Oreochromis niloticus: one gene and its partner. The protein of the gene in region 2 purifies or fractionates together with the protein of the main gene of each other region. This does not show direct contact. Links are inferred from orthologs where the notes say so. Each region holds a gene or a part of one and is shown on either strand. Other genes may lie near its edges.

Region 1 (3,752 bases), on a different chromosome or scaffold from region 2:
AACAACATTCAAAGTGAGCTTTCAGATTTAAGAATATGCCCCCAAACTCAATCAAAACAGCAGTCGCCTCCATGTGCTTATAGTTCACCTGGCTGAGCAGGCTGGGTGTGAGCCTGCCATGGAGCATATTCGGTGCGTCATACCCTTCACTCCGTCCTTTCTATCAAAGTAAAAAATTTTAAAAAGTCATAATAAAGAACCAGTTAGAACTGGTTTGACTGCCAAAGCACCACTATAATGTTAATCAACAGTCCCTGATAATTGTAAATCTAATTTATTTCAGGCTTCATAGCTCATACAGAAAGTTTAAACCTTCTAAGAGCGCTGATCACACAAAAAAGAAAAGAAAACCTGAAGTAGCCACCATGACATGAGTGAGGCCCCACAGGCCACAATGAGAGAATGAATTAGTTTCCACTTTAAGGACATTTTAATATCTCTTCAGGTGAATTTACACTTCAGGTGTAAAACACAGACACTGTATGAGTCTGTGTTTTACTAGTGTTCTCAAGCCCAGCAAACAGTGAAACAGTGACTTCTCCTAATCTGCTTTCATCTAACAGAAAGCCAGTAAGATCACAGGATTCATTAGTTGCTGCCTCTGTTGCAAAACAGTGTTCAAACCCACTTACAGTACTTTTAAGATATATAGCTTACTGCTGTCTAATATTTATTTTATAAATATTTCCCAATGCTGCCATTTCCGGTTCCCAATGTCAAACAAACACTGGCATCACTGAGAGCTAAAAACAGCCCAATTTCTAGAACTTAGCAGGAAGTTAGTTTGCTTGTTTCCATTTTCAGGGATTTCTTAAGAACCAAAATGTTACAGCTCTGCTATCACTTTGTACATAAGTGAAGAAAACTAAACAGCACCACTGTTTGTAGGGTTATTATTACCCGAAGAAGCATGTCCCAGGGTCTAATGCATGCTTTCTGTGAGTCAACGGCATTATAAGTGACACTAAACATCTAAGCTGTCAGAACTCGTCCTCAAAGCGGACACTGCAGTAGCAGCACAAGGTCTGAGGGCTTGACTCCATCTAGGCAGCCTGCTTGAATTCAAAATGAATGTGTGCTCACTACATCTGCTGAATGAAATAAAATAGTAATGATGAGGGTTAATATTACATGAATAGACAGGAGTGTCAGCAATGCAAGGCTGATAGAAAGAGTGAGCTACATTCAGAGGCTGTAAAATTAAACTAGAGCTCGTTTTCACCTCTTTTTAAATGATCCTTATAGCCCCAAAAAGTGCAGAAGGGTACATCAGAGGATATCAAAGGAAAAGACCAACACTACAAAAAGAAATATGAATATGACTGCGTGTACACTGATTCAGACTGCTGCCGTGTGTCCTACAGGCCCAGTAACCTACTGAGGAGTTATAGGGGTCTGAGCACAAAGACAAAGGATGGCAGAATCACAGGTAGCTCACCCACTCAAACAATCCGATGTGCACATGTGGGGGTAAAAGCCATATTACTGTTCTACACTCTTCTATTCTGCACGAACACAATCCCACTGGCTTTGCCTTTTTTTGACATTTCTGATTTTGTTGCTATATCCCAGCTTAACGTTGCGCTTTTTCAGATATTCGAGCGTCTCTCGTTGTGCCGTTCATGAAGTTGACAAAGAGTGCCGCACATACAGCGGAGGTCCTTTCTCATTGAGCCGGGGTATGCCGGGTTCTGTTAGGTCTGATCTGTCGGCACTAACGTATCGGAACTACATCACAGTCAGCCCCGGCACAACAACAAGGCACGAGCGAAAGCCTTATAAAGGTACGGCCAGCGGCGTCACCCAGAACCCGTGCCTGTCCGTCACAGCTCTATTAATACCACAGTAATACCGGAGGACACCTCACCTCTACAAATAGCCACAATGTCAGGGCTGCATCGAGCAGTGGATGTCTCATATCTCCGTCGGTAGGAGAGTGGGAGCAAAGCTCCGCTTGTGGACAGGAGGAGACCGTGGAGGGGTTGCTCCGTTATCTCTATGTCGGTTTCATCCCGCTGGCGGACACAGACAGCAGATCCAGCCGGTTTGACAGGACAGATGAAGGCAACCCGGGCGACGGTCAAACAGACCAAAAACGGAGATTAAATGGCATGATGGGAAGCTGCAATAGCCTGTGATGTTGGTTTATTCCACGCCCCTTTCCCAGCCCCCCACCCCCTACTCTGCCCTACAAACACACACACGCACACAGTTTCCTCATTTCATAGGACATTACACTTCCCCGTAGAATAGAGGAACAATGGCTATGACTTCATATCCAACACATGTACAGTACAGTGCAAAAGCTTCGACTCACCTTCATTTCTTTATACTTTACTAGAGAAATAGATGCAGTAATCTAAAACGTGCAAATGTACATCAAAAGCCTGAACTCGCTTAAGCAAGCTTTCTGGTGATTTCTTGAAGCAGGAACAGTTCTCCAGGCTTCTTGAAGAACAGTTCTTTGGACGTTAGCAGTCTTGTTTTCTGTTCTCTGTCGAGATGATCCCACACTTCTTACACAATGTTTAGGGCAGTGCATGAATGATGGTGTTCACTTGTGTGTCTTTCACTTCACCGGCAGTGTGTTTAGGATCACCGTCATGATGAAAAACAAAGCCTGTTTTCCTGAAGGTATTACATGGAGGATCGACATCTTTTCTTGAGCTAACTAAAGGCGTTTCACCAGGGGCGGATCTAGAGAAATTTTCTTAGGGTGGCATGAGGGTGGCAGAGAAACCAAATGGGGTGGCAAAATTAAAGATAAACCTGCAGGCCTGACAACAGGAGGTGTATCACTCCGCTGGTTTTCTACTTAGTGACAGTGTTTACACTGCAATGTGCCTTTGTGTTCATTAGTGCCCTCACTGACACACAAAACAAAACGACTACACAACAGAACAACTACACAAGACAACACAACACACTAAGTATACACTCCACACTAAACGTCACAAATCTCCCACATCTAAACTCTCTCTCTCTCTCTCTCTCTCTCTCTCTCTATCTCGCTGCCATTACCGTCACTCCCAAAACTTTCCCTCTTCCTAAACAACCAAATCCTACGTGTTGACTTTTTAAAAATTCGACATGGTACATTTTCGATAGGAAAGAGGTGGCTTTTTTTCCTTTCTTTACTGTTTTCGCGCTGTCCTTAGAAAACGCTTAAAACACACACACAAAAACATGACGACAGTATTTAGAAAAAAGCGTGGCTTATATATATAATCATAACCCTGGATTTACTGGCCTGTAATTAAAATGTATATACTTTGAAGTGCGAACTTTCAATCTGGGTTGAAACAGAGACTCAGCGTGGCTGCAGCTTGTTGCTATGTCAGCTTAACATAGTCATGTGATTTGGAGGTGCAGCGTGCCCGTGGACCACAGAGAGTTAATAACACTCACCTTGCTTCCATTTGCAGAGTGTAACATCCAACCACCTGTGTAAAATCCGAAATTCCCATGGTGTTGTTCAAAATGTGCTCTGGCACAATCATAAGCATGGCTTGCTACTGAAAACAAGAAAAAAGCCGGTCCTGCTATGGGCTGAACCATTTGTTAATGGTGGAGGGGGGTAACACTATTCAATATATTCAGTTTTAGCATTTATATTCACTGTTGACTGTAACTACGCTCGAACTGTTAATGCTATTTTAATAAACAACACTGTCATATGCAAAACTGGGGCGGCACTTGGGGTGGCAAGGGATCATTTTAGGGTGGCACTTGCCACCCCATGCCACCCTTCT
Region 2 (3,752 bases):
ACCAAGAAAGAAGCCACTGCTCCAAAATCGACAAGCCAAATGCTTTCTGGATAAAAGAGACAAAGATTGAGCGTTTTGATCACAATCCCCAGAGGTATATTCTGCACAGTAAATGTGATGCTTTTAAACCTGAGAGCACTGTGCCAGCTGTCACGCATGGTAGTGGTAGTATCATGTTCTGGGGCAGTTTTTTTGCCAATGGTGCTGGTACAGAGGTTGGATAAACTCATTAGGAAGGCCAGCTCTGCTCTGGGATGCACCCTGGACCCAGTGCAGGTGGTGGGAGACAGGACTCTGGCCAAAATAACATATCTGATGGACAGAGTCTCCCACCCCATGCATGTAAATGTTGCTGAACTGCAGAGCTTCTTCAGTGACAGACTGCTGCATCCTAGATGCATGAAGGAGCATTTCCGCAGGTCCTTCCTCCCTGCAGCTGTCAGATTGTACAAACAAAACTGCTCCCAACAAACATAGAATATCAGCGCTGTAACTTGCACTATTTTATCAACCGATTCACACTACAACCTGGGTTTGCCTCTTATCTGTATTTCATTTTATTTAATTTTAATAACTGTACAGTACTCTGTTTTTGGTAACCATTGTCCTTGATGTAAATATGTAAAAAAAATTGTGTATGTTTCTGTTCCGTCTCCTGTTTGTTTGTATATGTGTTTTTCTTGCTGCTGTTACAACAAAATTTCCCCTTGTGGGACAATTAAAGGATTATTCTATTCTATTCTACACTGCACAAAATGGACTGAATAATGAAGAAATACTACATACAAATTTTTCAACTTCATGTCAAACCAGCCGTTGCTCCAAAACACATCAAAACGCTTTTTTAAACAGATAAAGCAAGCTAACATTAAGGCTCTAGAATGACATTCCCAAAGCCCCAAAGCCTGACCTCTAATCTATTTAAAATTTGTAGACTATGTTTAAAAGCCAGGTCTGTGCTAGGAACCCAACCAATTTAAATGAACTCTACAAATTCTCCCAAGAAGAGTGATCAAGTATCCAGACAGGAGCTTGTTGACAGCTACTAAAAGCATGTCATTGAGCTGTTGCTTGCTAAGTTTTATATATTGTACATATTTGAGCCTGGAAGTAGATTTTTAACCTTGTGTGGATTTGAGAAAATCCTAAATAAATTCAAACAGTTCAAAGAAATCAGTAAATGCCCCACATTGACTCCATGACTCCTCATGTCTAAGATGAGTAGATATTCTGGTCGATATTGTCATGATAGCATCACAGCATCACACACTTGCTACAGATTTTTCAGCTGCACATCCAAAAGGTACATTTTTAACGCATTATCCCATTACTGAGGAGGGTTGTGACTTTATATTTCAGCGTAAGTGTACAGCATGGCAGCTAGTGGATAGTGACACTACGGCAGGATAGGTCGAGATGACAAACTCACAGACTTATCAAAGACTAACAACAATTAGCACAAACCCTACAGTGAAATGAGGACGGCACACTTTATAACACAGACTTTACATTTCAGTTGGCAGAGGTTTTTAACAAGTGTAGCTAGCAGGCTGTGTTAGCCAGATGATAATAGAAATGGCATGGCCCTGATGTCAGTAGGTGTTAGGACTGAACTCATACACAGACATGCTTGCTGATAGCGTTAATAGTGAGATCTCACTTACTTTGCATAGTAGACCCAACCATCTTTAGTAGATCTCTCCTCCCATCCAGGTGGTAACTCATCCTCACTATCTGTATCGTCCATACCTGCGTACTTCAGAGCTGCCATAGCTTCCAGTGAATGATGAAAATCAGAGAGAAATATCTGCTCTGGAGAATGAATGCAGATGTCAGAGAGAGCAGAAACACGGACACGGCGATCCTCCAGCACTTCCGCAACAACACGATGACGACTGCCGAACTGCATTTTGGGACATTGAGGCGGCAGACCATATGCTTAAGGATCCGGCTTTTTGTGATTCAAATCGTGCTTCTGTTATGGCACGGAAGCTTGTTTCCGCCACCGAAAAAAAGATGGCAGCCAGAGCGAAGTCGAAATTTCGAGTTACTGTCTCAAGTTTAATTTCGTCGTTTTTTTCCATAAGCTTAAAGGCTTTATGTTAAAGAACACTGGCTGGGTTTTCTCTCAGCCTTTGATCTGGGTATATAAATTGTAAGGCTAAAGTAGGAGAATAATGTGGGGAGATGTTGGAAGTGGGCAAATAGAGCTGTTGATTTATGTAATCAGATAAGTCAGGCCCACTGACAAAGAAACAGCTAAAGTTTTCTGATTTTTTTTTTTTTAAATCTCCTCCCAACCCTTTTATTCTCCACTAATTAATCACCTTTCCTGTCATAACTACGCTTTTGTACACATTTCAGACATCTATCAACCAAAGAGGTCACCATGCAGTTGGGCACGTTTTACCAGTATTACCTTTTCTGTCTATTGTAATAGAAACGTACCCTACAGACTATCCAAGAGGGCCAGAGGAAATCTGAACAGATGACAGGGCTAAACCTATTGGGGACAAAGGTAGCATTAAACCACCTCATTAACTAGTCAACACAGTGGAATGACAACAACTAACAAAAGCGAATTAGTTAGAGCTATACTGCCTCTAAATGTTCACACATTTAAATAAAAAATAGATGTAAAAATGTTTCAGATATAGCTAAATGTGTTCTGTTTTTTTTTTTTCCCATGCCTTGAAATTCGACAACTGCCAATGTGACCTGACCAGCACAGCTGTTCCCCATCAGCTCAGTGGCTCTTTTGTATGCAAAATCTGTGCCCGTCTCTTGCTTCTCTTGTTCCTGCCACTTGACCTGCCTGTTGTGTCTGTTAACCAGTTTGTGCACTTGTTACATGTGTCTTTTCTGTCTGCAGAGTCTATGTTTTCCACAGAATGGCTGCAAAATTTCTGTGGAATAGCACACCGTTGATAAATATAACTGATAATAAAAATGTAAAACAGCACAATACTCACATAATCTTGTTTCATAAAGGATGATCCAGTACATCTTATAAAAGGAGATAAAGAAAAGGAAACACTAAAACACCTTGCCTTTGTTTTAAATGGCCACCACTTAGACATTTCCATGTCATTTCATGTGGAAACAAAAGCAAAAAAGTAGAAAATAAAAGAAACCTAAAACATCTGCAAGTTGGCCTTTGTGCACTGGATGATTTCATAGTGGCACAGCCTTGAGCCCTAAAGGATTTAGCAGGACTGTGCCTCAAAGTCTGTGGATATGGAGACAGGGATTAGGCCGTATAGACTCAGAACAAGGTGTTTAATCCCTGTTGCAAGTTTCAATATGTTTTGGTCAAGCTCTGGTGCCACACCAACAACAACACCAAGAGCAACAATTAGGATTTATAAGGACCTATTGGCAGGGAAAGAGAGATTTTGCATGCCCGTTGCCTGAAATGCTGCAGTTTGGAAGGAGGCCCGTGTTGCCCTAGCCCAGACTGCACCAGCCAAAGAATGTCCTGCAAACAGTTCCAGGCACCCAGCCTCTAACCAAGATTCAGGTCAGAAAATGTGGTTGTTCTCTGATAATATCTAGATGAAATTTCCCAGGACCATTTGAAGAGGCCATCACCCATCTTTCAGTGTTTCCCAGTTAAAACGTAGATCTTGTAGTGCACTGTTCCCTGTTTCCAAACCCTTCCACCTGATTGTTTCATAATTTGCCCTCATTGTCCAATGTCGGATGTGCACTGCCACGGTCACTACTCAGTGGAGGGGGTAGTGACCATGGCC

The links. The genes of interacting proteins can lie anywhere in the genome.
Region 1: the proteins of wwox (region 2) and vopp1b purify together in Homo sapiens (affinity purification with mass spectrometry; 3 studies listed by BioGRID and IntAct, with this or other methods). This does not show direct contact. The link is inferred for Oreochromis niloticus from reciprocal best matches to the Homo sapiens genes WWOX and VOPP1.

What each region holds. Positions count from the first base shown.
Region 1 is NC_031974.2:30,754,669-30,758,420, reverse strand, and holds the start of vopp1b (vesicular, overexpressed in cancer, prosurvival protein 1), read right to left. Parts: upstream 2,174-3,752; 5' UTR 1,919-2,173; coding exon 1,868-1,918; intron 1-1,867. UniProt on the Homo sapiens protein: Increases the transcriptional activity of NFKB1 by facilitating its nuclear translocation, DNA-binding and associated apoptotic response, when overexpressed. May sequester WWOX in lysosomal vesicles and thereby regulate WWOX role as tumor suppressor.
Region 2 is NC_031972.2:56,177,245-56,180,996, forward strand, and holds the start of wwox (WW domain-containing oxidoreductase), read right to left. Parts: upstream 2,725-3,752; 5' UTR 1,910-2,724; coding exon 1,665-1,909; intron 1-1,664. UniProt on the Homo sapiens protein: Putative oxidoreductase. Acts as a tumor suppressor and plays a role in apoptosis. Required for normal bone development. May function synergistically with p53/TP53 to control genotoxic stress-induced cell death.